Linked DNA regions of Caenorhabditis elegans. The protein of the gene in region 1 purifies or fractionates together with the protein of each later gene. This does not show direct contact. Each region holds a gene or a part of one and is shown on either strand. Other genes may lie near its edges.

What was found.
Region 2: the proteins of W03C9.6 (region 1) and F29G6.1 fractionate together in Caenorhabditis elegans (co-fractionation; one large-scale study listed by BioGRID). This does not show direct contact.

The regions. Positions count from the first base shown.
Region 1 is NC_003280.10:11,947,231-11,964,114, reverse strand, and holds W03C9.6 (MFS domain-containing protein), read right to left. Parts: upstream 9,608-16,884; 5' UTR 9,599-9,607; coding exon 9,526-9,598; intron 9,357-9,525; coding exon 9,205-9,356; intron 5,925-9,204; coding exon 5,567-5,924; intron 4,956-5,566; coding exon 4,782-4,955; intron 4,741-4,781; exon of another isoform or gene 4,667-4,740; intron 4,606-4,666; coding exon 4,323-4,605; intron 4,128-4,322; coding exon 3,848-4,127; intron 3,766-3,847; coding exon 3,698-3,765; intron 3,648-3,697; coding exon 3,533-3,647; 3' UTR 3,376-3,532; downstream 1-3,375. Other genes in the region: W03C9.2 (uncharacterized protein), read right to left, coding at 245-521, 1,211-1,394, 1,445-1,612, 1,661-1,741; W03C9.1 (uncharacterized protein), read left to right, coding at 2,054-2,224, 2,271-2,436, 2,485-2,642, 2,799-2,898, 2,942-3,102; W03C9.8 (uncharacterized protein), read right to left, coding at 14,689-14,766, 15,123-15,239, 15,287-15,352.
Region 2 is NC_003284.9:11,494,861-11,511,776, reverse strand, and holds F29G6.1 (Kazal-like domain-containing protein), read right to left. Parts: upstream 9,511-16,916; 5' UTR 9,316-9,510; coding exon 9,225-9,315; intron 8,852-9,224; coding exon 8,735-8,851; intron 8,677-8,734; coding exon 8,596-8,676; intron 7,864-8,595; coding exon 7,677-7,863; intron 7,629-7,676; coding exon 7,543-7,628; intron 7,478-7,542; coding exon 7,251-7,477; intron 6,975-7,250; coding exon 6,855-6,974; intron 6,810-6,854; coding exon 6,753-6,809; intron 6,708-6,752; coding exon 6,639-6,707; intron 6,084-6,638; coding exon 5,961-6,083; intron 5,913-5,960; coding exon 5,799-5,912; intron 5,751-5,798; coding exon 5,532-5,750; intron 5,490-5,531; coding exon 5,266-5,489; intron 4,907-5,265; coding exon 4,686-4,906; intron 4,642-4,685; coding exon 4,475-4,641; intron 4,429-4,474; coding exon 4,256-4,428; intron 4,214-4,255; coding exon 4,028-4,213; intron 3,981-4,027; coding exon 3,640-3,980; intron 3,598-3,639; coding exon 3,446-3,597; intron 3,339-3,445; and 9 more. Other genes in the region: ccdc-149 (Coiled-coil domain-containing protein 149), read left to right, coding at 433-477, 561-725, 783-959, 1,320-1,412, 1,455-1,592, 1,669-1,806, 1,854-1,929, 1,991-2,117 and 1 more; hrg-11.3 (C-type LECtin), read left to right, coding at 11,928-11,988, 12,035-12,269, 12,321-12,564, 13,314-13,446, 13,492-13,561, 13,669-13,738, 13,782-13,842, 13,981-14,211 and 8 more.

The DNA.
Region 1 (16,884 bases):
AAAAATCCCTCAAAAACATACATTTTTAACAATAAAAAAACTAAAATTTCGGATTTTTTGAGGGAAAAATTCGAAATCTGTTCGATTTTTCCATTAAGCGTACGAATATTCATAAAAATTATGGAAAATTAGTTTTTTTTTCAAATTTTCCATGAAAATCCCATCAAAAATTGATTTTTTCGATTTTTCAATCAATAAATTCGAATTTTCTTCACATTTCACCATCAATTTCTGATATACTAACGCGACAAAAGCCTGCGCAAAAACGGATCCAATAGTGCCGGCGAGTTCCTGTGACGAATCGGACATTTTCGCCTGTGGGCTCATCAGACAAATGCACAAAATTCGGCCCAAAATCCGATGGTCCAGGCTGACGCAGAGGCCTTTGTCGAGAAGTCGAATCAAATGATTTCCGTCCAAATGACCGATATTTGTAGACATTAGGAAACGCTCACAGTTGGTGAGAAGTGGTTCACTGTGGAAATGTGAAAGCATATCCAGGACGGGGACGATGCTTGACACTGAAAATTTGCGATTTTTTAAGTGAAAATTTTATTTTTTTGCTACAAAATACCTGAAAATAGCCCAAAATTTGATAAAACCACAAAAAAAACCACGCGAATTTTGAATTCCCTCAAAAATGAGTGCTGCAACCAATCAGCGATGAGCTCCGCCCACAGCTAATCGCTGATTGGTTGCAGATCTCATTTTGGTGGCAATTCAAAAATTCATCCAATTTTGAGCCTTTTTAGCTGAAGTAGCGTGTATTTTAATTGAAAAAAATAAATTTTAGGCCATTTTTCCATAATTTTAATATTTTTGCGTAAGAAACTGATTTTTAAACCTAGTTTTAAAAAAAAATTATTTTCTTGCTATTTTTCAATGAAATGTGCAGAAAAATCTCTATTAACTATAAAAAGAATCAATTATGAGCTATTTTTAGTTGAAAATCAAACAAATTTGTCTTTTTTTTTTAGCTAAAATCTGTTGAAAAATAGCGTCAAAATCCATTTCTCACATACATAGTTTCTCAAAAAAAAATCAACTCAAAAGTGCAATCTGAGCCTTTTTTTAATTGTAAATGCCAAAAAATTGAAATTTTCTCCGATATATTGCAAAATTCGATCAAAATCCAATATTTCCTGCTGAAATTCCAGTGATTTTCCAACATTTTTCCAATTTTCGCTCCAAAAAATCCTAAAAATATTACAAGTGAGAGGTGTTGGGCGAATCCCGTAAAGCGATGGGCACACCGAGTCCAGAAACGCGTGGAAATTTCTGGAAATGATCGGCGATTGGAAGCGGTGACTGCAATCCTCGTGCGGTGCCGCAACACTTTCCGGAGCCGAAATCCACGTGGATTTGCAGTTTGTCGAGAATTCCACGTAGCTGAGCTGTAAAAAATTCACTTTAATTCTGAAAAATCACTTTAAAAAACACTTACGCCATCGAATTTCTCAAAATAAGCGCAACTCGGGACGAGCTCCTTCAAATCGACGAAAAAATTCACTGAAACTTCAGATTTTTCCGGATTTTCTTGATTTTCCAGACATTTTGTGATGAGTGTGATGCGAAATTGTCGATTTTGCGACTGCTCGTGATAGTTGACAGCCTGAAAATAGGAAAATTTTGGGTTTTCAGTTTTCTTGTCGATTTTTACTTTTTGCAACGGAATTTTCGCTTCATCCAGCGTATTCATGAGCTCAGAGGTAACACAGAGTGAGCACGTGTTCCATGTCATCTGAAAAGTGCAAAAAACTTGAAAAATTTAGTGAAAAAGAAAGGAAAATGGATAAAAAATAAAAATTTGCGCCCAACGATGCTCCGAAATAACAGCGGAGCATCGTAGCGTGTGTTGTTTAGCGTAAATAATAAATCATTTGAAAATTCAAAATTCATTAAAAAAAAGAAAGAAGAAAATCGTGAAAACCACAGAAAAAAACAAGGAAAAAGATTTTAATATTATCAACAAAAAAAAAACAAAGTGTTAAAAAAATTTATTTCTAATTCCAAACATCTCTCGAACCTTCGATTCAATTCTTCTACAACAAAAATGCAGCAAGATCAGTTTTTTCTAATCGTAACTTTCCCATTTCTCGTTACAAGTTTCGCACTCGTCTCGTGCCTGAAAACGGCTTGGAAGTTTAAGGGATCTGCTGACCCCTCAGAAGCTTACACAAAAACTTTGCCAGTCGCTGTGAAACCGAAAAAAGACGAGAAGAAGGTAAGTGCGCTCTAGTGCTAATGGGTGGCAAATTCAAATTTCTCAGATAAAACCAGGAAAAACTGTGAAAAAAGTCGATGGAAAGGACAAAAAGGCGAAGAAACTTTCGAAATTTTTCGTTTTCAATCACGGAAAAGACGAGGATTTGAAAACCGCGGTCGGTAGCGAACCCACGTTGGATTCCACACAAGAATCGATCACTGAGGACGACGGCAAGTGCGCCCCATTGAGAACCATCCCGCGAAATTCAAATTTTCCAGAACACGAGTCACCTCTCAGTGATAACTACAAGTTCAGTGATGACGAGAAGCTCGACGGACTGCAAATTCTGCCGTCTCCGCCGCCGAAATACGTGGAAAAACTGAGATCTCGTGTGCGACAAACTCGGCGTGGCAAGAAGAGCCCACAGGACTACTATGTACGTGTAAAATCGTGTAAAATTAACTTTAAGTATAAGTATATTGAGTTTGAATTGAGTTTGAAAAAAAAAATGTGGGTCCCACCACGAAAAGCTACAGTAACCTGAGCTGAATTCAAATTTCTTGATCAAAATCCGAAATATTTTAAATTTCAGTGCACCGACGAAGAAGATTCGCTATTCGATGTCCCATCCCTGAAGATTGACCCGGCAACCCTAAAATCTTCCCGATCAAGCATTCCGCTGAATATTCAAGGTACATACAGTAATCCATATACATCCACATCTCTATATATCAGACTCCCGTTTGCTCCGCCTCAACCAAGATCGCCTCGCCTTCAAAAAAAGCCACACAGTGTACCCTCATTCTGCAATCTCGCCGCACTCGAATCGCATGCATCGTTCCGAATCGCGTTCTTCCCGAGAGTCGGAACCAACTACTATCTCACAGAGATCTTGAGAAATCAATAAAGTTGTCTTGATTTCAACGAAAAAGTGTTAAAAGTGTAAAAAGCCTCAGCTAATGAAATCACCTCACCAACAGTCAGTGATATGCTCAATTGATCATCAACGGCAAAGCGGCGGGGGGGGGGGGGTCGAACCCGCGGCGTGTTTCACGGCCGCGCAGCCGCTACCCGCCTGCGCCACAACGGTGTCACCGAAATTGAACGACAAGGCATTGACAAGAGAGCGGCACGAGGAGGAGTGTGCCGAGCAGAAATATCCAAAAATACAAATAATTAAATTTTATTCATCGCATTAAAAACAAATTAAGAGCACAGAAAAATACAGAAATAGACCCGAATATCTCATCAAATTGAAATACAAAAAAAACGTGATAAAATTCAAAAAACGTTCGCAACAAATTTTCGAAAAAAAATCTTCCACTTTTACGAATACTGCCGAAGCCTCGAGAAATTCGCAATCCAATAAATCGATCCAAGTGCCACGACAATTCCATTGATGGTCCAAAGTGTCTCAAAACCGGAATACGTGTAAACTCCGCTGAAAATCAAAGAAATTTGCGCGTAAGATGCGGTGTTTCAGGTACTTACGACGAGTAAATTGGTCCCAGAATGAGAATAACGTCCTCTGCGACGATCATGGCTCCTTGCATTACGCTCTACAAAAGGTATGGTTTTAAAAAAGAAAGTATTAAAAAAATAATGTTCGTTTATTTTTTCCAATATTTTTGAAGCCCTTACCTGATTAATAGGTCCCAGAGTTTTCGAGTAGATCGCATCGAGAGCCACCGACGAGAGCGGGATCCCAATTCCCATGACAACAGCGATCACAATGAGCAAAAGCGGAGCCGCCGGAGCATATGATGTGTCACACCAGCTATAGGTCGTCGAGTTACAGCCAACATCGGCTAGGGCGTTGTAAGGGGGAACTGGATTGCTCACAGGTGTCCATGGATAGGTGAATACGTACATTGACATGAAGATTACCAAACCTATGAGGAACGCGATGCGTTGTTGGAGGCTGGAAAATGAGAAATGGGTCTTGCCGCGAAAAGGCTATATCTCGAGATATCTCGCTTGTCTCTGGGTTTATCAAAAACTTTTAACTACGGAAGTATTCCTTATTTCTTTGCCTACAATTTTGTAGTTAAAAATTTTTTCGCTAACTTCAAAAATAACCGAGATAATGATAATTAATGCCAAGTAGTAGACTTACAAATTGCCGAGATTGCAGAAAAAGTAGAGCCCGGCGACAATAACGGCTAGAATTCCGACTGCTCCAAGTGTTATCGACATGGCGAGCACAGTTTTTGCACCTGACCAGCCGTAATTTGTCATGAAAATTACAGAGGTTAACGTGGTGAGCGTGACGACTGAAAGTGTCGCGTTCATTTTCTGGATCCAACACAAAACGACGATTCGCCAGTTCAGATTCATTTGAGAAACCTTTTCGATTCTCGATTTGACTCCAGCGATCGTAAGGAATGATTGATTTTTCTCTGGAATTTTTTTGTTTTTTAAGAAAAACTACAGTAAGCCGATGAAAAAACGGCAAAACCATAGGTCCTGGCCGGGATCGAACCGGCGGCCTACTGCGTGTAAAGCAGACGTGATAACCACTACACCACAGGACCGGTGTGTCGGCGCCTCCCACAAAGCGGTTACAAAGACTCACTCATGTCGGATTTTGCACGGCGTGGCAGTTCTTTCAAACAGCATTTGATGATGGTGATGGAGATGAAATTGGTTGCGGCGGCAACCCAAACCGGCGCCGAATAAATGTGGAATTTGACGTTTGGGAAGATTTCCCATCCCGGATAGTGAATCGATGAGAATGCAGCTTGGATTACTGTAGAAATCGATAAAATCACGTGAAAATCATAAATTTATTTTTTTTCTAATTGAAAAATATTGTTTTAAATTAAATTAAACCAATTCACCTCTTCAACTGTGAAATACCACGATTGTTCAAGTTCTCTAGACTCCTATCACGACCGAAAAATTTTCAGCTACCGTACCCCGAGGGTACTGTAGTTGAAATGTTTCGATCGTGGCAGGACCCAGTGAAGGTAATTTTGTGTTATTTTCACAATATTTCGCACAAATTCTGGATTATTAAATCTAAGACACTTATTTCGATAGTTTTTATTTTAAAAAATCGACTTGTGTCCTAAAAACCAAAAATCGCGATTTCTAGGCCATCAAGTTTTAATTTCAAACTGCTATAACTTGGTGTAAAAATTTAATTTCCAAAATTTGAGAAAATCATTGTACTCGTCGCAAAAATTTGCACCGAAATGACTTATTTAATTCTGGTGGCCTAGAAACACGAATTTTTTGAATTTCTAGGCCACCAACTTCAAACCGGTATAACTTGCTTGAAAATTGATATTTTTTGCCGGTTGAAAAACCAACTGAGTTCAAATTTTGATATGTTTTCAAATAAAAATGAAAACTAACTTGGTCCGACAATAATCGAGATCATCGTGGCCGCGTTCAATCCGGAATAGGCCTGCGGACGATCTTCATGCCTAGAAATCGCAGCAACATAGGCGCGAAGAATTGTGGAACTGCTCGAAGCAACTCCAAACAGAATATAACACAAGGCCATCACATATCTCCGTCCACTACCGAACATTTCGACGCATAGGTAGAGTAGGCAGGCACCGAAGGCGATAAACCGTCCGGCGATCAGAGGAATTTGGAATGATTGAAATCGATGGCACCAGATTGCGAAGACAAGTGCCGAAATGGCGTGGAAGAGTTTTGACGCGGCCGTGGCGTTTCCGAAGAATTGTGCGTCGGCTTCCTTGTCGATCTGCAAGGCTATTCTGTTTGTCAGTTTATATCTTGGTTCAAGCCAAAGCCTGAGCCTAAGCCTAAGACTAAGCCTAACCTCTTAAAAAGTTACAAGAAGGTTTTTCCTTGCGCTTGGAGCGCAAAAGAAAAGAAAAAGAGCTATTTAGACTTAGGGTGCCCAGCTGGAATAAAATATAGGAAATCCTTATGACACACTTAAGCCTAAGGGCCCGAAAAACATACTAGGATGCCCAACTGGAATAAAATATTGGAAATCCTTATGACACACCGGCGGTATGGCGCGGCTTAAGCCTAAATAGCCACTTTTATCAAAATACATTTGAGCTCTGCTCGCGTTTTACTCTAACTTCTCAGGCAACTCAAAAGTAGTCTGTGGATATTTTTCAGAAATCTGAATAAAGATTATCACTAAGAAACTTGGAAATTTTGTAATATTTGAAGGGATGCGAGCAATCTCTACATATTTGCGATCAACCTTTGGAGATTTTTTTTCTTAGTGAAGTTATAGAATGCCAATATTCAAATTCCTATCTCATGGGAAGAAAAGTTCAAATTCTGTACCTGCGTATTATTTTTTACAACTCCGTTCTTTCCACAAGAAAGGCCTTCTTCCCATGAGATAGGAATTCAAATATCGGCAGCATTCATAGGTACAGAATTTGAACCTTTCTTCACATGAGATAAACATTTTATATCGATCAAATTAACCCTCAAGTAAAGTGGGACCTTTGATGAATATAATCATTCTGATGATATTTAATTCCGATGATTAATCCATTTTTCTTTCTCTCACACTTATGAACTAAAATGATTACTAAATTAAGGCGGGATATTCTAAGGTGTGATAACATATGATATTTATTTTTAAATTTAAATAAAGTTTTTTTTAAATTTTTGCTAAAAAACGAATAGTTTACAACCGCCTCGCTCAAATGTATTTTGATAAAAGTGGCTATTTAGGCTTAAGCCGCGCCATACCGCCGGTGTGTCATAAGGATTTCCAATATTTTATTCCAGTTGGGCATCCTAGTATGTTTTTCGGGCCCTTAGGCTTAAGTGTGTCATAAGGATTTCCTATATTTTATTCCAGCTGGGCACCCTAAGTCTAAATAGCTCTTTTTCTTTTCTTTTGCGCTCCAAGCGCAAGGAAAAACCTTCTTGTAACTTTTTAAGAGGGTTTCACATATTTTATTAAAATCGGGGCGAAGCCCTGATTTTAAATCCATATTGTTTTTGTTTTTGTCTTCCACTATCCCTGCAAATAGGAAAGAGAATGTGTTCTTTCTGATAAAGTATTTAAAAATCATCTTAAAATCTTGAAAACTGAGAGCAGGAGGTAATATAATGTGTGTCTCCCTGTGGGTGGGGTGGCGATGTGTTGGCATCCAACCCTTCAACGAACTGTATCTCCCGCCTGTATCTCCCTTCAAAGTGAGAATTGGGTTACAAAAATTTGAGGGAATATGAAAAAAGGTGTGAGGATTTCAAAAATATTATTGTTGAAACACCAGACCAAACCACTTTTTCTGGGCAAGAGGCAGAAAATTAATTTTTTGAAAAATTTCAAACTGGCACAAAATTTTTTCAAAAACAAATTTTCAAAAATTTTTTGATAGATTCCATTTTTATCAATATTGTTCATTGAACACAGAAAAGAAAACAAAGATTCATCAAAAAATGAGTGAAAAATCGCAAAAATTCGAAAAAATCAGTGCTGAAAAACTCGATTTTTTGGCGGTGCTGAAAAAAATTTTCACTAAAATTTTTTTGAAACTTAGTTTTTCGGATTTAGCGTCAAATTTTAAATCTATATAAAAAAACAAAATTAAAATTGATCTCAGATTGAGTGAATAATAAACGCTCAAAGTTGAAAAATGAACAACGCAAAAACGGCAGTAACTTGCTTCAAGGTCGGTTATCTCAGTGAGTTTTCACTCAATTTTCGAAATTTTTTTGCTCTATCGCTTTAGAAATATTTGTAATTTCATTTTTTTTTTCTCAAAATCAAAATATCTCAAACGACCGCCATCCTACGAGAAGGGAAAAAAAAAGTTTTTGGAAAAAAAATCAAAAATTTTTTTTCTGCCTCGCTTTTCAAAATGAAAAAATCACTTTTTCGGAATAATTTTTACTTTAAAATGTACCTACGATCTTTTTATACAACAATTTCACCTTGGAACCAAAGATTTCTCAAAGACAACAGCGCACGAAGCGGTGGTTTGCGAAAAAACACGAAAAAAACACACCGAAGTGGGAGGGGGGAGGTCAAAATTGCGAATTTGACTTTGGAGCTCTCTAAAAGAGCTCATAGCTGATGGATCTGGATGATTTGTATGTTTTTCGACGCATCTCGTCGAGTACTATAAACTGCTAAAAAATCTCGTAAAAATCGCAAAAACTCGAATTTTCCTGCAAAAAAAAGAGGCGAAAAATGAGAAAAAAAACGTGATTTTTGGAGGATACTCGAAAATACTCTTCATATCTCGGCTCAAAGAGCTCCAATCTTTCTGAAATAAAGCATACAGAGGTGGGGCAAGTTTCTTGAAGAGACAGCAAACCGCATCAAAATCCATCCACCCACCGTCAAGTTACACGCGCGTTTTCAGAGCGAACGAAAAACAGGGCATAAAAAAATTTAGACGCCCGCACCCGGACTCGAACTTTTGTCGGATTTTGAAGCTTAATATCTCGGCTCCTGTAAATCGAAATTGGCTCAAAATTCACAAGAAAACTTATTTCACTGCCGTCCTCCTGTCATTAAATTTTCGTGAGCTTAGGGAGAAAACTGACAAAACGCCAAACTTTCAAATTTTAAAAAATAGTTGAGGGTCATTTTGAAAACACCTTAAGCTCCATAACTCGGCGAGTTTCGATGGAATCAATTTGAAATTTTACACGGAAGCTTCTTAGTGGCCTATACGTCTCTGTGTTAAATTTCGCTTTGATCGGCCAACGGGAACACTTTGAAAAATGAAAAAACGCTGTAATCCTAACCCTAAATAGCGTCAGTGGGGGAGCTAACGCTAACGCTCCCCCACTGACGCCAAGCCTACGCCTAAGCCTATGCCTAAGACTAAGCCTAAGCCTACGCCTAAGCCTAAGCCTAATCCGAAGTCGAAACCTAAGCCTAGGCATAAACCTAAGCCTAAGCTAAAGCCTAAGCCTATGCCTGAGCCTAAGCCTAAGCTCAAGTCTAAGCCCAAGCTTAGGATTAAGCCTAAGCCAAAGCCTAAGCTTAAGACCAAGCCTAAGCCTACGCCTAGTCCAAGCCTACGCACCTGATTCATATAAGGCCACTCGCTCATTCCGACTACAGTATTCTCGATCGCAGCAATAAACATGACCAGCGACGCGATTACGATGGCTTTTCGGTCTGTAACCATGTCGGTGTCCGATTCACTATCATTACCGTCTTCTTTTGAAGGGACATCTGAAAATTTTGAACTTTTTCGGGGAAAAATTATTTTCTTGGTTTCAAACTTCCTTTTTTTACGATGAAAAAATAAAAATTTCTAAACTTTTTTTGAAATTTTTGACAGAAAATTACTACAGTTGAAATTTCAAAAATTCAACAAAAAATTCGAAGCTCCTTTTCTCACCATCAAAATCCATCTTGCTCATTGAAATCGTGGGAATTTGGAATTTTTCGTCAGGAGCCTGAGCTACAGCCATTTTTTCTTGCTGAAAAAAAATTATTGGTGGCTAAAAAATGTTTACAAAGTTGGAAGAAATATCAATAAACCATAAAAATGCGCAGAAAACGAGATTAAAATTATTATAATCAATCAAGTGGAAACACAAAGAAAGAAAAGAAAACATTGAACTCTTGAGTTTGCCTAAAACAAATTCCCATCGAAAAAATGTTTTGGGAAACTGGAAACATTTTACAGAAATATTACGTCATAGTGATCAAAAATCAATAATAAGATAACATCTCGAATTTCAGAAATCATAAAAATTATTGCAATTTTTCCTGGTTTTGAAGGCGGTTTTTTTAAGTTAAAAAAATTTAAAAATTGTAATTTCAAGTGGCAAGTGTCAAGTGTTTGGAACAAAGAGACAAAAAAAAGGAAAAATGTTTCGAATTCTTCCAAAAAAAAAAGTACAAGTAAGTAAGTATTTCGGGCGGTGCGTTTTTATAGACCCATAGATATTCGGTGTTTACAAAAAGGTCGTTGTGGGTGTCCAAATTTGACGTGGTGAGGTGATCGTTAAAAATGTTTTTTTTTTGGTAAAAATTCAATAGCCCACATCATTTTTTTTCTAAATATTTTCTCAACTTGCCAAAATTATAAAATATCAGTTAAAACTTGGGTAACCAAAAATAAATTAAAAACTTTTTTTTAATTAACAAAAACCAAAGTTCAGTATTAAAAATTTTTTTCGGTGAAGTTCTGAACCAGATTACGGAAATTAAACAGATTTTATTTAAACATACTAGTTTATTGGAAGTTGAAAAAAATACAATGATCAATTTGGTCAACCTAAAATAATGGGAAAATTTGAAATTTAATTTTTATTCAAATTCTAAAATTTCCCAAATCACATTTTTCTACATTTTAGGCGCGAAATTCAAACAGAGAAAAGAATTTTTGCAAATTTTTTTTCAATTAATAAATAACTAATTTTTTAAAGTTTTGGAGCAAAATTTTAAATTTAATTAATTTGAAGTTAGAAATTAAATTTAAAAAATATTGGTTGAAAATTGGAATTTCAATTAAAAAACTTGCCTCAAAACTCAACGTTCAATTTTTCAAAATAAAAGTTCGACGCCAAATTCCAATTTTAGTTTTGAACCAGTTCTAGGGCGTTTCCGGCAATTGCCGGTTTTGGATATTTCTGCCAAATCGGCAATTCCGGCAATTTCCAGTTTTCAAATTTTTCGGCAAGGATAATAGAAAAGTATGACGAACAAGGTTTGCCACCGTACAAAGTGGTCAAAAATTGTGGGTGGATGGATGATGGAAAAGAGAAATAGAGGGGCAAAAGATAACCGGTTGACAAGGGGGTACGGGACAGGGGGGGATAAATGGAAATGAAACAAGAAAAAGGGCAGAGAGAAAGTGATTGGCATTCTTGTATACAAGGGATGGGGGATCTATAAGACTATGTCAGGTAGTGTGTTTTATATGGGGCCTGTAAAATAGTAGTGGCTCACTGAACAAACTACATACTTGGTTTGTTTCATTGGTATCGGAATAGAAAAATCGACGATTTTTTGTTGTGAGGGAATATATACCTTTAACATTTTTTTCTATTTTTCACCCAGATGCAAAATTAAAAAAAAAATTTTTTTCAAGTTTTCAGAGAACACAATTTCGGCGGGAAATTTAGATTTTCAGATAAAATTTTTTGGCGGGGAATTAAAATTTTTTAGAAAAAATACAAACCTTTAAAGTGTTGGAATATGACTATTTTAAACATAAAAAAGTTTTTTAAAATGATATTTGAACATTTTAACACAATAAAAAAAGTTTTCAATCAATTCCCCATTACTCCACATTTAACAAAAGACCATCAGGATCAAAAGATTCAATGCGGAAGTTTTTTGATCTTTTCAATTCAATCATTTCGAGTTCAGAATGAAAATTGAGAAATGTTTTTTTTTCTGATTCCATCAAATCATTTTATTTGTCTGATAGAAGACGCATTATAAAAAGTATCTCTGCGGTGGTGAGAAAGATTAAAATGTTATCAACTAACGAAATGTAGATAAAATTATGCTAATTAATTTGATAATTGGTAAGATTTTTTATACACATTTGAAGTTTGAAAATTGGAATTCTGAAACTACAAAATACAATGAAAAATGAAAACAATACACTATCATCATCATTTTGGGAAACCAATACACAAATGTTCTTATTCACCGTTTTCCCACAGCGGTTTTCCAGACAATTCTGAATTTAAAATTCTTTGTTTAAATGTTTCCCATTCGCCTAACAAATTGTATGACAATCTAGGGATAACAGAAATTTTTTTGTTTTTTTCAACATGTCTATTGACTTTACGAGTTAAAGGATTAATAGAAAGCATCATAGGGACAAAAACAACGGGAAAATGAAAAACAAAGACATATGTTAAAACAGAAAATTTAGGCTAGAAAATTTCATACTAATAATACATAATAGTTGTTCCAAAAAAGCATGGGAAAAAATTGCTTTCTGATGTCAGAATTAATGAAGAAGCTATATTAAGCTAAATTTCTAAATTTAAAGTGTTACCCTAAATTGTAAAATTTTAGTAGTTTAACAGGGAGATCAAAGTTTTTTTGCAACATTGAAATTTTTCAGCGATCATTTGAAGACCAATAATCTGCAAACCAAAGTACAGTTCAAAACTACAAACTACAATGTTCTTTAGTGTTTCAATTATGTAGTTTTTTGTTAGGAAGTTTAGATAGTCAAGTTTGACATTTATTGAGAATTTAAAAAAAATTTAAGTTGAACATTTTTTTGAATGATTTATTTTTGTAATAAAAATTAACTATAAAATTGAAACTTTAAAAAGAATTGTAAAAATGCAATAAATCAGCAATCGGATTTGTTTGAAAGATTTCACAAATCATAAAGCTAGAAAAAAAACACTTTTTAAGTTTCGTGATAAAAATTGGATGACCAATAAATCAAAAATCTGATCAAAATCTGAAAAGAAAAGTTTCACGTAGTGCCAGGCTGTCCCATTACGGTTTGATCTACAAAAAATGTGGGAATTTTTTGCCCAAAAAAGTGTGACGTCAGCACGGTCTTAACCATGCAAAATCAGTTGAGAACTCGGCGTCTCTTCTCCCGCATTTTTTGTAGATCTACGTAGATCAAGCCGAAATGAGACACTCTGACACCACGTGAAGTTTGAAAATATTTATTTGATTTTATTGAATTGACATGAAAAATAATAAAAAATTCATGCATAAAATTAAAATTGTGAACAAAAAAAAATTTGCATAAAAAAAAAAGCCAATTTTAACTTTGAATCAATTTATTTGAAAATTGATATTCGAATTTTAATACAAATTAGGAACCAATTTTTTTGAAAATGCTTATTGAAATCCTGCAATTCGATTTAAATTTTTTTTTGAATTTTAATTTGTCGGAAAAATTTTAACTTTGAGTTCCGTGCCAAAAATTTGATTTACTTTAAAATTGCAAATTTTTTTTGGGTTTTTGAAGTTTGAATTTTCAGCCAAAATTAACAAAATGATTTCAACCAGGGTGGGGGGATCAATTTGCCGAATGGCAACTGCCGCCCACCCTGCTACAAACTACAAATACTACAATACTACAAACTACTTGAGGATGTGATATGTAGATACATATCGATGATATATCATTGATAAAAGATATTTTGAAAACAAAAATGTTGAAACAAGAAAAACTGAAAATCTACATCTGTTCCACAACTTTAAATATATTTATAAATAGAAAAACACACGTGTCTTTAAACTTTAATATTTTAATACCTAATGTCTTAAAAGGTGATATACTTTGTTATCATCTCTTATCAGTGCTTTTTTAGTAATATGAGTTGGAATTCAAAAAATGAGAGAAAAAAACAAAAGTAGGTACACGTGGTACTTTAAAACATTTTTGATTTTGATAAAGTCCTAACAGTACACCATTTTATATAACTATTAAGTTCATTCAATCAAGAGTACCGCAAAAAATCTGGTGTTGGCTCCGCCTACCGATAATCCGATCACCTCAACAAATTCGTTTTTGTTTACCAATTTTTTCGTATTTATCCACCTGTAGTTTTATCTAGTAGGGCTTAGGTGTTCCTATGTTGATTTTTCAAAGATTTTGTTAAAAAGATATCAATTTTTGATGAATAAAAGGCTACAAAAATAAAATAATTAATTTTAAAAAAAACTTTTTAAAAAAAGTTTCGAAACTTGAACAAATGTTTACGCATATAAATAAACTACCTATTATTAATCCAATCACGAATCAATTACTCATCAAATAAAGGGTAATAAAGCAAACAATGATGTGACCCGGAAATAAAAATGATAAAAAATAAACTTGAAGCTTGAAAAAGATCTGACAAAGTGAGTGAGGTAAGGTAAAGCTTACTTATCCCAAAATTTTAAATAAAAATTCTGAAAAAGCACCATACCGATTCAGAGGCCACTATAAAAAATTTAGATTCATTTGAGTAGAAAAAAGTTGATCTGGAATTTTTCAGTGCATCATGGCCTGCGGAATTGCTGCTTTTTGGAGATTTTTTCAGAGTGTTTCAGTGTATAAAGTTTCAGATAAAGAAGTGTTTTGACAGCTTTCAAAATAATTGCTTTGCCATGAGCCTATAAAAAATTAAATAAAAATCTGCAAAAATCTACCTCCGGAGCCAATTTACGGGCTCCGAAAGTAGTGAAAAAATTGCACTTTAAAAATTCAGATTTTTTTCTTAAAAAAAACAAGCAAATAAATTACTAAAACGTTTCAAAATATTTACAGTTTTGAAACAAAATTTTCTGTAATTTTTTCACATACCGCAACCTCCATTAAAAACCTAATTTTCAAGCCATAAAATGATCACATTGTGATCGACAATACATCCCAAATCAAAAAAAAAAATCTGCCAGACAATTGGATAGATTGACTCATTCCTCAGTGACTCATATAAATTGGCAAACATTTTTCAAAAGAAAAACATCACCCGGAAACTTTATCGGGCGGTAAATGTGTACAACAAGTATGCAAATTCGAAGTAGTAGTCGAGAACGAAATTTATTCGGAAAAATACTACAAGTTGACAATGAATCATTTACGGGAGCTCGCAGTTTGTTTGGTTGACTTTTGCGATTTCTGAGATTTCGATCCGATCAGAGCTTCTTCTTCCTGAAAAATTGAAATTTACGGGGTCCCGTGAGATGTCGGTCGCAACTTAGTTCAAGGACCTGTAGCGCGAAATTCTACAAAGACTAATTTAAGAGGTCCAGAACAGCGACGGTTACTTGTTTTGGTATTCAATAAGTACCCATAAAATGTCGGCTGCTAATTACCTTAATAAAAAAATGCCCGCAAAGTTGCTCATTATGGGCCCCCGCGAACTGTCAGATGCTTATGGACCCGTAGAGTGTCGCATGCTCTTTCTGTTCACTCGTGGACTACCGGGCGCTAATTCGACTAAACCAGTGAGGTGTCGGTTACTTCCGCATGCTGTCCCAAAACTTGTCGGTCGCTCAAAGACTCACCCCACCAAGTGCATCATCAAATGAGACAGCCGGCAGTGGCTTCGAAATTGCACAATAATTGTAGAGCCCGAATGACACGATGAACAGTGCCCAACAACATCCACCGCATAAGATAATCTGCAAACGCGCTCAATTGAACACAGTGTCCAATGGAGCACACTTACCAATTTATAAGTCGTCAATGCCTCCCATTCCGACCGAAATCCTTTGCCATCATCGACGAGATGCATTTTTTGAGAAAATATGCAGGAGATTGTAGGAATGAATTTGAAAATTTTATTTTTTGTTGAGGGTTGATTTTTTTTTTATTAGAAAAGTAAAATTGAAGGAAAAATAAAGGTCACGTTTTGGGAAAAAGGAAATAAGAAGATTTAAATTTTTCAAAAAATTACCGAAATTTTCCAGAAAGTTCATTTCTAATCGCAAGTAAATTGGAGGCAATTCAGTAGAACGTACGAACGCCAGTGAAGTGACGGCTGCTGATTCAAACGGGCCTGTGAGCTGTCGGCTGCTCACCTGTGTTTGGCCACTATATGGGCTGCAAACAAGTGCCCGTGAGGTGTCGGCTGCTTGACTATTTCAATGAAAAACCTGGCAAAAAATCACACAAAGTTTTATAAATTAATCCATCCCATTAAACTTTTCACTTCAATGATTCGAAGAAGACCATCTAATTATCGGATGCTTCCCTCTTATTATTTTCTATGTCTGTTGATAACTTGCAATTATAAATATCAACATATGTTTTTGCCATCCAATTAGTTTAGTTCAGAGGTTACACAGTTTATACAACAAATATTTCCTGTAAAATCATGTGCTCCATGTACCGTATCGAGAAGAAATATTAAAGGAATTCGGGTAATTTTTCCTGATAAGTAACAAGCAGCCGACATCTTACGAGTGTCTATAAGCTTGCAGCCGACATGTCACGGGAAGTTAACACAAGTAAGCAGCCGAGAGCTCACAGGCTTGTTTGAATCAGCAGCCGACACTTTATTGGTTTGCAGCCGACATATCACAAGTGGCCACGGCAAACAAGCAGCCGACATTTTACAAGCTCATTCAAATCAGCATCCGACAAACTTTGAGTTTGCAGCCGACAGCTCACGCTCACAGGCTCATTTTTCAAAATACCGTAAATTAACTGTATTTCTTTTCTGGATACCTCGTAATAGATGCGCAATTACTGTATTAAGCTGGCGATTTCACCTAGTTTTCCCACATGTAACTCTTTAGGAATCTCTTTAGTAGAATAATATCTGTCACCCATTCCACTTGTCGCGTTGAATAAACGTCCTCCCCACAAACCTCTGTTCGCATCCTCGTTCGCTTTTTTTTCTCTTTTCACCGTTACTTTTTTCTTGGAATTCATCCAAGTGATCATAATGCGAATATCGCGCGCTCAGAGTACTGTAGTAGTGTAGCTAGTCAATGGGAAATAGTTTGGAGAGGAGGACGGACGAAGAGATTGATGTGAGGAGGCGGAGGAGGAGGAGAAGCCAAAAAGTTCAACAATTTACATGGTCACTCTCTTTTCGCAATGACAAGGTCGACTTTGCTGCGAGGAGATGATGAGATGTAAAAAGTTTTTTGGAACACATCCTTGAATCATCCATTACTGTATCGCAAAGATCTGAAAGATTTGGATTTTCGGAATTTTTAGAAGTTGCTGAAATTGCCGATCGCTAAAAAATGCTGTCCCGCCACGAAATGCTTGAAAAAAAGGACCTGCGCCTTCAGAGGTTACTGTAGTATTTCTTCG
Region 2 (16,916 bases), on another chromosome or scaffold:
CCGGAATACGCGTCGAACCCATCTGCTTACATTCACTAATTCTATTTGTATTATCTTAACTGCAATCCAACTTTTTAAATGTTTTATTCTAAACCTGTGATAGCTAGTCATTTTCTGTTATTTTTGACACTTTTTGTACTTATTCTGGGGTAGTTGGGCTTCTTTTTCTTATTTTCTCTTATTTCGTCAAGTGGTAAACTTAATAAATTTATTTTCACTAAACTTCGTTGTTTGGAAAAGAAGCTTCAAGATATCATACAGCAGAAATTCATTTCGTACTCGAAAGTTTATGTTCGCCCAACTTTTTCAATGCATGAAAGGCGGTCATGGAAAACGTGTGCGAGGAGCAGTGAGGCCCTCTCTTCCCCCTCTGTGCATATCGATTTTTGTCCTTATTTAGTCTTCTAATGCTCTTTGAGCTGTGCCATCTTCATGAAAGAAAATAATAATGCGGAGATTCTCGAGCTCAAGAAACAAGTAAGAACTTTTTATTAAAAAATTATATATTTTTTTTGCAAAATCGTTTTCTGACTATAACTATGTTTAATACATAATTATAGTTTACCGCTCTCCAACAAAAATGCGGTGCGAAAACAGACACGATCGTGAGACTCGGACAAGATTTGGAGAAATCTGAGAATGAGAAAAAGGGACTTGCGGCCAGAGTCGAAACACTAGAACGAAATTTGGAAAGATCTGAAAGAGAATTGCAGTTAGTATGTGCGGTAAGTCAACCTTCATTAAATAAATCATTATCAAATTTTTAACGAATTTTAATTTAGTGTCAGAACGACATGAAAATAAAATTCGGAACAGAGCGACAGGATTTGATAGAAGATATTGAAAAGTACAAGCGAGAAAATCAACAATTAAGGACCGACAGGCAAGAATTGTTGGACCAAAAAGCTGACTTGAAAAAAGACTGCAAAACGTTTCGACAGACAATTGCTCAGTTTGAGGTAAACATTTGAATATTTACAGAATATCGAGAAACATTTCTACTTATTTCATTTCGTTTTTTTTTAATTTAAAATGATTATATTGAGAGATTTATTGCAACAGAAACAAAAAATCTTGACAAAAAAACGAGTTTATTTCATAAAATTGATTCATTCGTTTTTCAGGTACAAATACCTTTTAATCTTTTTAAAAAGTTCATACATAATAATATGAGACTTTGCAGCAAAGTCTAATATTATTATGTAGCATAAATTTAATTTATAGCCATTATATTGTTTTATAAACAATCTTCGATAAAAACATTTTGCGAAATTTGTACTTAATTTTTTAAAATTAGCTTCAATGTTTATGGCTTTTAGGTAGAAAAAATGGGAGGACCGGTTCGAAATTCATTTTCAACGGAAAATGACGAAGTTTCAAAGCTGGAAGCTCATGAAAAACTTCAGGCAAAGGTTTGTTCCGTTTCAATTTGGTTTGCCATAATTGTTTTTCAGTGCAAAGGTCTTGAATCGGATCTCCGGTCTATGCTTGGAATCAAAGAAGAGCTGCTCATGGAACGCGACGAAATGCAGCGGAAGGTAGCAAGATTGAGCAACGAGTTGAGTTATTTGTTGAATGGAGATCCGAGAAGGGTAAGTCAAGTATTCCCTTTTTTATACACCTGGTATTCGGATTGTTTTTGAGTTGAATTCTAATTGGCGTATTTAGGTGGCCGAAGATTTGGACAGTTTAGTGGCCGAAAACCGGTTTTTGAAAGCCAAACTAAACACTGCAGAAGAAGAGAGTGAGTCCATAAAAATGACACTTGCCAAATACAAACAAATGGCCGAAGCTGTAAATGTACAGGTAACTTTTTGGAATCATTATCGCCTATGTGAAAATTTTATTTCAAGACGATGGTGAATAGATCTCCAAAGGCTGGCGAAGGAGATGACAAACCAAGTGTAGCAGTCATCAATATGAAACAAAGTGAGACTTTTTGGACACAGTTTTTGTACTTCGTATTCCATTATTTTCCGGCATATTTCAGTTCGTGAGTTGCTAGCTTCTCATGCCATCGAACTCGTCGAGTCCGATTATCGTGCGATAACAACTATTCTGCTCGATTTGTGCAATGATAAGCAAATGGCGTTGGCACACTCACGTCGTGCTAACAAGTGGGAGTCATACAACGTTTCAATAAGGAATACTGTTTTTTTTTCAGAGTACTGGGAATGAGATTACATGAAGTTGAATCAAAGCTTGCTGTATTAGATATAAAGTCAAGAAGTTCAAGTCCGAGGCATGAACTCCCTCGAGATGAAGACATTGAACTGGTAGTCCCAAAGGCAGTGGCAAGTACATCGAGTAAATGAATAAATCGTTTAAATGTCAACCTTTTCCAAACATCTCACCATTTATTTACAAAAAAACAACTATAAAACAAAAAAGTTAAATTATAATTTGATTGGGAATCTTCACGTTCGTAATAGCGGGCAGGGTGTGGCAAGAAGCACGTCTTGTGTTCGTCGCCACGTTTCACATGCTTTCAGATTAAAATAACACGAGTTTCGGTATATGTTCTCATGTTGGTCACAAATAACAGACAACTCATCTGTACATCCAGCGGGACAGCATTTTCCTGAAAACAAGTAGTTCAATAGTTGTATTGAAGTAACAAGAAAACAAACCTTGGTAGTCCAGGGTTAACGTTGTGTTTTGAGTATGAATCTTGTCAAATATACACTTTGAGTTATGAAAGTGACAAAGAGAATCATGAGTTCGACCTCTTGAGTCACATACCGGCTGTCCGGTTTTTGGGCACGAAGCTAATGCACAACACTCTCCTGAAAAGTTGCATCTGTTTGAAATTTTGAAATTTATTTTTTTATTTAAGGTGATTCATTATAATCAAATTGTCAGGTATATGTACATGTTCCATTTTAAACATGTGTATTCAATGAGTTAATATTGAGTACACGAAAAATTTCAACTTCATTTTTTTTGCTCTTTTTTTTTGCTGTTGTTGGTTTGAAAAAACTTTAATATACCTGTATGAACAATGTTTAGAGTCTTCTGAGATATGGTTTGTGCCATACATCTTCTTTGTTGATAAACACAATGATTCATATGAGTTTGACCCTCTGAATCACAAACTGCTCCAGAACTTTCACACTCTCCTTTTGGGAGAAGACAACACTCTCCTGAATAGGCAATGCTGAGCGTTTTGTTTACTCGTTCTGCTTCACATTGTGCAATTCTGAAAGTGTCAGTATTTGCGGTCACAGAAAATAGGACAATATATGAGCCTACCTGAATCTGCAAATGTTCGGATGTGTAATTGTTCCGTCGCAAACTGGGGTTTTATCTTCATCACATGGCTGGTTACAGCATTGTCCCTTTAATTAATGTAACTAATCTGATTTAAAGTTAAAAAAAAAATAATATTTTTGTCCTTATAATGGCATTGGAAACCTTTCGTTCAAAAATTTATTTCAGAGTTTACCTGATAGGAAACTTGAATGGTTTTCTTGTTCTTTTTCATCTGAATGCATGCATTTTGATCCATGAGACACATATTCGCATGGGTTACTCCTTCAGTATCACAAACTGGTGAGAAGACAGAAATGTCGCAATTTTCGATTCTACAGCATTCTCCTGAAATTAATATTTTTATTTGAAACTAGAAAAATTGCAAACCGTCGTAATCTTTCACCAGTTTATCTCCAGTTGTCACATTATTTTCTACAAGACATCGAATTTTATCTAGTTCACACTCGTTCACAATGTTCTGCCCATTTGATGCACAAACTGGGCTGTATTCTTTTGGACACGCGTTGTTACATTCCTTGACTTCATTGCAAACTTCAAATTTGTCAATTGTAAGAACATCCCCAAATGTTCGTTCGGCAATACATCTTTTGACTCCGAAATGGCATATGTTCTGATGAGTACTTCCTTTACTATCACAAACTGGGCTGAAATCGGACGGACAGTTGGTATCACAACACATTCCGGTGTAAGCAACTTCAATCGTCGAGCTGAAACTCTGATCATCTATATTTGAAAAACTATCAAACTTCATTACTTCGCCGATTCACAAATCTCTTTCTGAAGGGAGCATGCGTTGGTAAAAGTAACTCCGTTAGTTCCACATAGAGGATCATATGAGTTGTCACATTCCATAGAACAATTAAAAGTATTTTCTCTTTTGAATTCTATGTTTGGTTTTTGGAAATTTCGATTGCTTGAAAAGTCATCGGTTAGCATATCTCTGAAACAAGATCTGCATTTCAATTTTTCATAATTTTCCTACTTTTCGCAAATCCCTTGTGAAACAACGACAAGCTTTGGTTGATCTAATTTCTTCAGCTTGCAGTTTTCGATGTTTAGTTCGCATTCTGTCAAAAACGTAGCTCCACTATCAGTGCAGACTGGATCCGGTTTTTCAGTATCGCATGACTCAACAGGAGGGCAACATACTCCAATCTGAATATCAAAAACAATTGATGAAACAATTTCTTTCCTAACTTACATATTGAACAGTTAGGTTCACACCGTATCCGCGCTCAAAAATGCAAGACAACATTTGATATTCACACAGTGATTTTGTAGATTGGTCTTCCAAGCAAACAAAAGACTCATCCGGGGAATTTTCTGCTGGGAGAGCACATGGAGAATCTAGACATTCGCTGCATTTTCCTGAATTCAACTATTTGAATGTTTTTTTTTCCAAAAAGTGTAACCTTTGAATAAAACTTCTAATTCAGAATCCAAACATTTCTGTTTTCTAAACTGACATAGATTTTCATAAGTGGAAAAATCAGATGCACAAATAGGGTGTTTATCATCAGTGCACGGCATTTGGCATGCTTCCTTTGAAATACAGTTCTCTTCAGTAGCAATGTGAATTTGATGTCCTTTGCTAGCAGCAATGCAGCGAGAGTAGGTAAACTCGCACAGATTTCTGAAATAGTGAAAATGCTGTTTCAATAAAATTATTAATGTGTTTATTGAAATTGTTGGACTGATTTTGTACAAGAAACTCATCAAGAATTACTCTTGAAGTATTGGCTACTGTGTAAAAGCTGTATACAAACATTTTATATGGTAAGTTAAAACCTGATTTTAAACAATTAGTTAAGGTGATAATTTGTGGTACATCTACCCCATAAGATTCAACACATTTTTCAGTGAATATGCATTTTTCCAATGACATTTTGAACAATAATTCGTAATGTTTCAACCCCATTTCCAAAATTTGATTTGACAAAAAGTGTGATGATATTCCAATAAAATTTCAACGAGATAGTTGTAATTGCTTACCCATGCAAATTTCCTGCCGAGTCGCATACCGGTTGTCCATCTGTTGGGCAATTAGGTTTTGGACAATCGAAGAAAGCTACGTCAAGTGGTGTTGTGGTTTCGATTTCTATCTCCAAAATGGATTTTGTCGTTGGGTCCGGAAGCGTTGAAAATGTGACTGTTGGTACTTTAATTGTCGTTGTCACGATTGTTGATGAGGGTGATGGAGTGCTTGTGGTACTTTTCTTAAAAACAATTTTTCGATTTTGACGATTTTTTTCACTTACCAAGACTTTCTCAAATGCGCTTACAATGAATGTAGTTTTTTCAGATGCAACAGTTTGTTTTAACTGTGAAGTAGTGGTTGATTCAGCAACTGATTTGGAAGTTTTTATTACAACATTTGAAACTGTTGCCCTCATCTCCACATTTTCCACTGCATTATCTATTTTTCTATTTTTGACACACGGCCGCAAATATCTCAAATACGGCGAGCGAATTCCTAGCTGAAGAAATGTTTGGTAAGTGCATCAATTTTTCAATAACACTTAAACCTTTCGCATGTTGCAATTGTATTGCTGAAAATGACACAGGTTTTGATGAGTGTTATTGGCTTCATCGCAAACGGGCTTCACGTCGCGACTGCAAGTCCTTGGGCAAATTTCGTCCTGGAAGTTGAGAAATTACGTGACTTTTCTCTCGATTTCAGTCAGTACTTTAAGAGTAAACTGAGGACTTCTCTCATGACACGATTTGATGTGAACAAGCACGCGTTCTTCATCTTCATTGTTTCTGGCCTCACAATTGTATTGAATAAAAGAGCAAAGAGTAGGATGCGTCTGAAATATAAACTTCAAAACACATATGTATACAGAATTTAAATATAGCATATTTAGAGATTAAGTATAATTAGACGTTTAATTTTAAGTATTGCATAGGTTCTTAAAGTTTTAGTAGCGCAAGTGGAAGCATTGCTTTAAAACTTGCCTATGACTTTACAGTGACCAAATAGCATAATTTAAAAATATATTGTTTTATTACTTTTATGATTTTCTGAAAATTGGAAAAATCGCAGTTTTTCACTTTTTTTGGAAGTCGTCGATCAAAAAACATCTGATTTCTTTGAATTTTATGATCTATGTTTAAAAATTAATATTCAAACTTTGTAGAAATTCCAACATGCAGCAGTGCTATAGTTTTCTCCAAAAGTGGCAAAAACTCAGTAATTGGTATTTTTCACTATCAATAAAAATGTTTCAAACACTTTTTGAAAAGTTCTACTATGATATTGGTTTGGGATTAAGAACTTAGTTTTAGAGTACAGGAAAAGAAAAGGTATCTCGACGAGCAAAACTTAAACTGGGAAACTTTAATTTTTTATTTTCAATACATACCATATTACGATTATCACAAATAGGAATCTTTTTCTCATCCTTTGGACATGTTATACATGTACTTTTTCTCTAAAATGAAAACATTATTGAATCCAAATTTTCCTTCAAACTCACTGCTCTACAAGCTCCTGAATGAGCAATATCTATTACACTGCCATCTATTTTATTGATCTGAAATGTGACGTTTGAGCATTATCTCCAATAAATTATTTTCACCTTGCAAGCAAAAAACTTGAACTGACAAACATTTTTATGAGTTCGATTTCTAGTGTCGCAGACCGGATCCCATGATTTATCGCACTCTTTGATACTGCATGCACGATTAAGATCGTTGCGCTGAAAGAGGAATTCGAAATCTTTGACATTCTTCAAATTTTCTGCCTCTCGAGACTTGTTTGCTTAAATTTTTACCGTGTAAAGAAAAAAACATGTCAAGTAAGGTTACAATTTAGTCTTTGTGAAATCAGCCTGGTCTTTCTTTTTTGAAAGCGAAAAAGAAATGCTGTAATCGGAGATAGCATCAGTTTGAATAATGGCTTTGATTCTATCGCCTCTAAGCATACCTACTACACCGATTACTGACAGAGTTTACCGCTTCTTAGAAAAACTAACCGTCAGAGGTGAATGATTTTCACGATGCTTTGAAGCAGAGGTTTTTGCAATGACCTTGTTAATAAAAGTCTCATTTCTTGATGGTTTTTCAGATTTCATCGGGATTGTTGTGGATGCAGTTGTTGTGAGATCGGGTGCCACAGTGCTGGCTTCCGTCGTTTCCAAATAAGGTTCATCTGCGTAGGAGGTGTATGATTCCACTCCGGCCAATTTGAATCGCTGGGTCTCTAAACCGTTGAATCAGATCACCAAAGTCCATGTGATTGTCGTTCCACACATTCCTACCACCTACCTCGACTCCTCAAACAAAACTTTCTATCCTCTGCCAGTTGAATTCGTTGACTCTCTAATTGTAATTCGCATCTTCGCATTTGGAACCTTGAAACGGAACATGTTTATCAGACGGTGATCGAACTGTCCACTCACACACACAGATTTCGATACACAGACCCATTCGTGTCACATACCGGGTCGAATTCAGTATTCGTACAATTATGATTGCAGTCTTTCGAAGAACATCGGCCCATGTGTAGTTTCGTCAACGACAAGCCCATGCTTTTCTTCATGATACATTGAAATTGAGCAAAATGACAATCATTGATATGTGTTTCTCCTAAAAATTAAAATCTTCTGTGAAAATATTTAGAAACTACAGGGTAAACAATAATTTTTGGAAACTTCTTCTTTCATGTGAGAAGTTATTTTAAACTTTCGAAATAAAGTATTCAGTAGAATAATTTTGTTTGTTTTCAGAAATATTATGTATAAAATTCTTGTCAAAATGTTGAAACATTATAAAACTTCTTTCGTGTTCGAAAGTATTTTAAATATTTCATTAATAAAATTATAAAGATTGATTTATTTGTTACAATCACTAAGTTTATCACAATGAGTTTTTATAGTTTAGTTCTGCCATCTAGAACATTAATAAAATTTTCAATTTTAAAAAGGAACAAATATTGACATTAAAAAAGAGGTTTGAATATTTTTAATCGGATGCTCCGTGAACATATTCGATTTTTAAACTAGCGTACCGTTTGCAAGTTTTTATTTAATAAAAAACTTTTTTTTGAGAAATATTATTAGGATCAGTTTTTTATGCACTCCACGTACGTTTTTTTTTTCAGAATGTCATTGTTTTAACCCCAATTACGTTATATATACTTCACAACTGAATGGAAAATGAAACCAATATATTTTTATCAAAATTAATTAAAATTCTGAAAGTTCAACAACTTCTGTTATAATGCGATTAGTTCTAGACGTTACACACTTTTTTCTAATATGTATATTATTTGAACGAGTGCAAATGATTTTTTTTCCAATCTAATTCTCAAACACTAACCGAAGTTGTCACATATCGGCGTTCCTACTTTCTCACACTCCTTTTTGTCGCAGCAGGTGCCGTTGTAAAAGAAAAGAAGATCTGTGAAAATAAGTCATTAATCGTAACATAGGGGTCATATCTAAAAAACAAAGAGTACCTTCGTTTGTGCGTTGAACACATCGCAAAAAGCACAAGTTGTTGTAAGTAACGTTGTCGGTCCCGCAAACAGGACGAATCACGCTAGGACAGTCGCAATCCGGTGGTGGCGAGAATCCTGTAAAAAGCAAAATTAGCATTTTCTCTTGCATGTATTTTCACTCATAAACATCATATCTGTCATTCAACACATTACTCTAGCCATTAGCCACCAAAAGGAATAAAAAGAAGACATCCGGATAAAGATGTTCACACTTGTCTCATCTTTGACTTCTTCTTCATATCTATCACACGTTTTTCTGTGCTAGACCTGTTGAACAGAAAAATAACCTTCAAAAAGAATATCAGAAAGTGGTAAGAACACACAAGTAGGTAAATGGATGTAGGAAACGAGGAAGGAAGTAAGACTTTTGTAAGGAAAAAGATAAATGAACTAACTAAGATAATTTTTAAAAAATTTTTATTCGTGGCCAATTGTTAATTATGTATACCTTTTTGATTCTCTTCTTCTTCACACCTGCTATCAATAACAATTATTAGGAGAAATAAGATAGAAAGAAACACGTTTCTACGGATAAGCATGCTGGTTGGCGGTGTTCCACATGAAGACGATTGAGGGAGATGATCAGTGATTAAGAACCCAATGGGATAAATCACAAAAACAGATGTGTGAAACCGTATGGAAGTACTTCTTAAGACACGGAAGGATTCCGTAGACTTTGCAAACAAGGGGTAACGTCAAATGCGGGCGCCGTCACTGGAGGCCGTCAACTTGCGAAAAGGCAAGTTCTCTTTACTCATCGTCAGTAACTCCTCCCATCATTTTTTTTTGGTCTTACGTCGAGAAAATGAGAGGTTGACGGGTGCGTAAAAGGGAAAGGATAGCAACGAGCTTTAATTGAAAGATCGAACAGCTGATTCGATGGGATTACACTAGCTACGGAAATTTTGAAAAGTGACACTTAAGATGATAATTTGTTAGTTGAACTTGCTACAGATCCATATCAGCTTCCGTTGCGGTGTAAGTGTGATAACGATGCGAATTTAATGAAACAACTTGATGCCCATTGTAAATGTGTAAAAATATTATGTGTGGTCTCAACAAGCTTTGCAAAGTTGTTCAGAAAATCAAAAACTGATAATCACTATGATATCAGCATTGCTATGCTTTATTGGAAGCATAGGTACTTTTGGGCTCAACTAAGGTGAAGTAGCGTCAGTAGAGAAGTTATCGAAGCTTACTACAATGGTGTTAAAATTAGAAAATATTATAGTAAAAGTTCTCAAAAGCGTTTAAAACATTGTTTTTTTGTAGTCGAAAAGCGACGCAAACACGTTTTTGACTGAAAATATTTTAAAAATGTGGAAAAAACAATTGGAAATGATTTTGTTCACATTTCTAAACCATTTATGTTTAAACACTGTGGGGGACTGTGCTTTTCTTTTTACAAAGGTTGGTACAAACTCATTCTTTGTCGTTTTTGTCTGTTAATATAAACATTTCAAAATGATTTGACCAGTTTTAGTACGATATTCGATACTTTCGGCTCTACAGGAGTAGTTTTAGCCAAAAATCCAATTTTTCAATCATTTGTTATGCTTGTTACGCTATTACCGTATTTCCTCTATTAGTCTTGCACCCCTATGTGACGATTGAAAATTATTTTCGCATGCAAGACTAATAGAGGAAATACGGTATGTTATTCAAGAGTTCAAAACTATTTTAATCGGAAGATTAGTTTAAAGAAACGAGCAACTGTATTCAGTACAGTTTAAGTGCAATCTTCAAAACAGTTCATTAACGTTCAGTTAAGTTAAGTTCATTGAGTTCCGGAACATAATCCTCGTTATCATAGTAAGATTTAAATTTTCTTTTACTCATCTCAATAGTTTCACAGACGACACTCACTTGACCTGATGAAATCACTATTACTGATTCAGAAATAATTGAAAAATTGCATTTGCAGATATTTAGTGCCAGCAGTAATGTAATCATTTTCGAACATGGGTGTGTTCATATGTAGTTGAAGGTACACAAATTATATCTTATAAACAAAGATATTTGATTCTTTCCATGGTGCGGTTGATGTTAGTCGGCCTGAGCGGAAAATATTTAGTTTTAGCCAAATAATTTTTAAATATTTTTAGACAATGTTTCTAATAAGCATTTTTTTACAAAATTGTTTCAAAACATTGCTACAAAATTTGACTTGAGTTCCATTTTGGGTGTGTACTCCTTACGTAAATTAATTTGTTGGCAATTTTAAATTGATAGGTCTGATAAGAAATTGAATCATATCAGGAAACTACATATTTCCAACGAGTCGGTATGCGATCAAAAGCGAACTATCATAATTGCACAAACATATCGAGGAACACTGTGATTATGCAAATTTTAGTATAAAACACAAAGAAATATAAAACAATCTTTTTCATAACATTCTTTCTCTGCCCTACACTATTTAATACTTTCTACAAAATTTTTGAAATTTATAAAAAAACAACTACAATCTGTTCAAAAGTCAATTAAAATGCTACGATCTCAAAAAATCATCTAAGTATGCACGAAGAGCGTTTAGAATTATTACAACCAAGTTTATATATTAACCGAATTAGTACAACATATTAACCACATAGCATTCGTTTTGATACATATCCATGACAAATCTGCATTTCAGGGTTTCCGAGATCGATCTGATTACTTGAAAACTGAACCGTTTTTAAAATCACAAGCAACAAGTAAACATTCCCAACAATGATAATAGTCTAATTCAAAGTAAAACGTAAAGCCAGTAGACCGAACTACACTGTTGTTATTTCCAAACAGACTTAATGTTTTAAGCCAAATATTTTCATTCATTTCATTGTTGTAAATGTTGCTTTGAGCAATAATATCTAAAGGTGAAGTAAATTCCCACGTTTACTTTTGCTCATAATCTTTATTCATTCGAATAATATTCAGAATTATCAAAAAACCATCGTTATACACGCCTGTCGTCGTGGTGCCATGTGCAATCACTTGATAACCATATTAGTTCTTGAAGGCAAAAATGTGGCAGTCGGCAAAACGTCGGGGCAAATAGCAAAATTGGCTTATCAAACAATAAAAAATTTTCACGGTCTTACATATGCGATAGGGCAAGACAAGCCCTTCCAGTTTCAGTCCGCTGCTGCTCGAGTCGCCACTGCACACGATGCGGCTCCTACTGGCTTTATTTTTATTAGTAACAGCAGTTGCAGCTGCTCCAAATCTTGGTAACTCAAACTAAATCTATTTTACAAAAACAACTTTTTTTTTCAGATTCCGTATTTCATCACCTACCAAATTATTATCCCGAACTAACAAATACTGATGCTTTCCATATTCGAGCAAAACGTGCGATTTTTGCCGTTCTTGGAATTGCCAACCAATGCGAAAATGGATGGACTGGTGATGGATGCAAAAACCCAATCTGTACTGATCCAAAACCTGCACCAACATCTGGACAGACTTCCAGTATTGAGATTATGTTTATCCAAGGAAGCTGTGGTGGACCGTAAGCATGAGTTTTAATTTAGTTGCTTCAAAACGATTTTCTTTTTTCAAGATTTTACATCCCTGTCGATTCAACAGGCAACAAGCCTACCCAAACCATTCAAATCCATGTTTCGGCTGCTGGAATTCCATATGTGAATATGACCGATGCAAAGGGAGTTGTATTTTCTCCATCTTACTCCGTAGCCGACGATAGCTATTCTCTGAATGTCTACGCCGATCTTCCATCTGGTGGATATACCTTGTCCATTGATAACCAGGGTGTTCCAACAAGCGAATGCATCATTGAAGTTAATGTAAGTGAGATTTTGTAGTCTGCCTTCTAGTTACATTTCGCACATTTTCATTCAAAATGTTCAACATTTGCCATCGTAACAAGATGAAAAACTGATAACCATGAGTTGCCTCCCTACATTTTTACGAGTTCGGCATATCAAAATGGGCGCGCTAAAAATGAATTAAAACGTGGAATTGGAAATAAAATGGCGCGTTATAAAAATACTGTATACCATGTCGTTATTAAAGATCAAATCAATGAATAATATAGTGAATTCATCAAAAGAACCTTACCTAAAGTTACATAATTTCTGAAATTCTTAAAACCTGGAATTGTCTACTAAAATTAAGAACAAATTATATTTAAAACAACGATGTTCCATACTGCCCAAATGAATTGTATATGTCATACATACTAACTTATATTTTGCTTCAAGTGCACCGGGAAGTTTTCAAAAGTTCAGACATTGATAAGGAATGTCATTATTCAGATTATTTTATGAAATGTAGTTTTCCTAGCAAAAAAAAACGTTTTTATAAAAATAAAATAAAACAAAGGTTTTTTATCTCTGATTAACCATCTTTGATTAACCAACAACCAATTTTTAATTTTGCAATTATAAATTTTGTGCCAGCAGCCATTTATTTATAAAAACTGCGAGAGTTCCAACATATAAAGCATTATATAAAGCATATTTAATTTATAGTTTTCAATTTTAAGTAATTTCCATATAAATTTCAATACAAAAGCACATGAAGTCAGTTTTAGGGTGACCCCAGCGGATTGAAAGCTGTGGATGGATTTGTGTATTCTCCACAGTCAGACGACCCTCCATATGGTGAATCTGCAATCAACGGTGTTCCGATGTATATGGCCGCTCACGTTGACAATTCACCAGCTCGTTAGTTTCGTTTTTTAAATATAAAACAAAATCTTTATATTGCAGAAGTTCAATCTATCACCATTCGCCAAGGCAATTCTTTGGCTCCAGTCTACAGAGCAGCTCTCACAAGAAGGTAGGGAACTGTATTTGTGGAAATAATTAGCATTTAGACTTGATTTATCTCCTGAAAACATTAACACCCCTATAAAAGCAAATCACTTTCCCCATTCATTTTTTCAGGTATCAGTGCGGGTATGAATACTATGCAGGACAGTGGCAATGTCAACTTGGAAATGCCTACTTCTATCATGTACTACGAAGTTCAAATTAAAATGTTTAATGTTTTCTTTCAGATTGATGGAGTTGACGCCAACGGATTTAACTTCAGAAGAACCGGAAGATTCTCATGCATGCGTAAGTCAACAACGCTTTTGTTATTTGAATGATTAGTTTTCTATAAGCTGAAAGTGTCATGAGTTTATTGAGCTCAGGCGTTCAAGAATTATTAGTTTCATAACTGTTAACTACAAATTGCAATCAGTCTTTTTTCAGAACTTCTCACATCACCAGCTCCTCCAACAACGACCCAAGCTCCGGTGACAACTTGTTTCAACAATGGAACACTCCTCAATGTTGCTAACCAAGGCCAAACATGCTTCTGCTCTGAGCTGTTTAATGGAAAACAATGTGAAAAAGTTAACTGTATGAACGCCGGATTCCCAGATCCAGACGGTAATCTATGCGAATGTGCTGCTGGATACCATGGAACAAACTGTCAAGATGGTATGTTAAGTTTCAGTTATATTTATATATTAAATATATCTTTCAAGTTACCTGTCCACTGAACTGGGAACAATATCTTACCAACTACAAGACATTGGTTGTTATCATTCGAAGCACCGTTTCGATGAATCAAAACCTAAATGCGATCTCCAGTGCTATCTACAAAGAACTAACAAGTAACGACGGCAACAACTACGAAGTATACAAAGGATTTGTCATTGTTAAATTTGCAAACGGTGCTTACACCAACACCTACTACCCAGCATTTGACCAAAATGCTTTCCTGGCTGCCATCAATCAAGCTTCAACTGCTGTTGGACAATGTTCGGATGCTACTTTTGATGCGATCGGCTCTATTTTTAACGAAGTCGCTCTCTATCAAAAATCTCCAGTCTATTTGTTCACTGACGCAACTGCTAGTGATGTCGAGAAATGGCAAACCGTCATTGAGCAAAACACTCGCATGAAGTTCCCGGTACTACATAACTGATGTTAACATAAGTAGAAGTTGCAATTTCAGATATACACTCACTACTTTGTTCAATCTAATTGTGCATTTGATGAAATGAGCCAAGGTTTCCAAGCCATCGAATACGCTTCTTACTACAGTGGAGGACTTATCCTGAGACCATCTGTTGACTCTTTGCAACAAGTTAGTTTACAATTTATCCTACAACACCATATTTTGCTTGTTCAGATTTTCCAATACGTGATCAAAGCAACAGCCTACAAAATGAACTCGGTACTTATTGACGATCTTGCTAGCTGCGCCACTCCAACGAGAGTTTTCTTCGTTGACACTTCAACCACTGAGCTCATGATTCTCGCTGTCGGACAACAGTTAACAGTTTCTGTCACAGATCCAAATGGAAATACCAATACTCTTCTGAAGATTGTCGACAGTGGAACTACTCAACTGTATGAGATTTCAAACCCCGTTGTTGGTGAGCACTTGGTCACAGTTGTGTCAAATGTGGTAAGTACTATTGAAATGAATAATTCAGTTTTTTTGCTCACTACATAGCTTAACTGAAAGAATTGAAATGTTTTTGTTTGCAGCAAAATACTCCGTGCTCGTACCGTGTTCAAGCCCGCTCAGAATATGATCTTTTCATTGGAACTAGCGTCGGAGTCAATGATGATGCTAGTGACTCGGAACCAGTCGTCGGACAATCTTCTCACATTGTTGCTCAACTAACAGGACTTAAGGGCAAAGTAGCCGATCCATTCCGTCTTTTCTCTGAAATTTCCATTACATCTAATGTAAATGTGGACAACAAATACCAAAAACCAATGTACTACTCCAGTGGAAAATACAGAGACGGATGTGGTTTCCATATGTATTTTGGAGCTGCCGACTTCTGTGATTTCATGTCTCAACCATTCTATGCTACTGTCTATGCTGACGATGGAAAGGGATTCACCATCCAAAGAACTACCACTGGTTTCTGCTCTGGAAGTAAGCCTTCAAAAATTGTATTTATCACTTTTTTGGCGCAATAGCTAACTTTTTTGTCGGAAACTGAGTAAGAAACGTGTACATATTTCAGCGCCAACGACACCGTATCCACCAAACTCTTGTCAGAACGGCGGAGTGACCGATCCAACAAATAACGCTACTTGCATCTGTCCACCAGGTTTTTACGGACAATAGTAAGTGAAAATAACATAAACTTGATTGACGTTCATATATCAATTTAGTTGCACAAATATTCAATGCGTAAACGGAGGTACACCAAGAGGAGGAATGTGTGTTTGCCCAGTCGGAACTGCTGGAACTTTCTGCGAACAATGTATGAACTGTGTAAATTTGAATTAAAATAGGGATCTTATATATTTCAGACATGTGCACCACTTTCAACAACAATCCTGACGTTTCATTCGATGGACAATCCATTGCCTTTGTTGTTTCTACTAGATCAACTATGAAGGTAGCTGTTCAAAAAATTGCAGACAATGTTCAAGCAATGACACGTGATATGCAACAAGCATCTGACAAATGGATTAATAAGTGGATTTTGATCGCAGTCAATTCAAACAGTATGTTACTTGATTAGGGTAACAGTCGTAATATTCAATTATAGCTTCATATTTGCTCGTTAACTCCGCTAGGCCAGCTGACTTTGTTGCTGGGGTTACCAATCTAAATGGAAACTTCTCAAACTACGCTGCTGATGAGACATCTTGCCAGATTCAAATTGAGCAAGCTATGCTTGGAGCCGTACTTCTTTCTGAGAGACGTTCTTCTGTCTGGGTATTTGCTGATTCAGACGGGCCAAATGATCTTTCCTACGTTCAATTGTTTGACGTATCTCAACAGTACCAACTTTCTCTTAATCTTGTCGGTGTTGGTTCATCCATTTGTACAACACCAGAAAACAACGGGCAGTTCCCATACTATCTCAGAAGTTTGTCACAAACGACTCTCGGAGATATCTATATGACTGATAAACTCGATCAAATTATGTTATTCATTGTCAGTATGTACAAGTCTGCAGTCTCTCATAGATACTACGTTCCTGATTGTACCAGTGCTACTTCGTATTACATGCCAGTTGATGGATGGACCCAATCCCTTACTCTTGCTGTCACTGGAACTGATCTCTACAGTGTCGAGGTCACATTCCCAGACGGACAAAAGGGGCAAAATTCGGACTATGAGCTCGTTGCTATAAACGATCCTGAAACCAAATTGAACCAATATG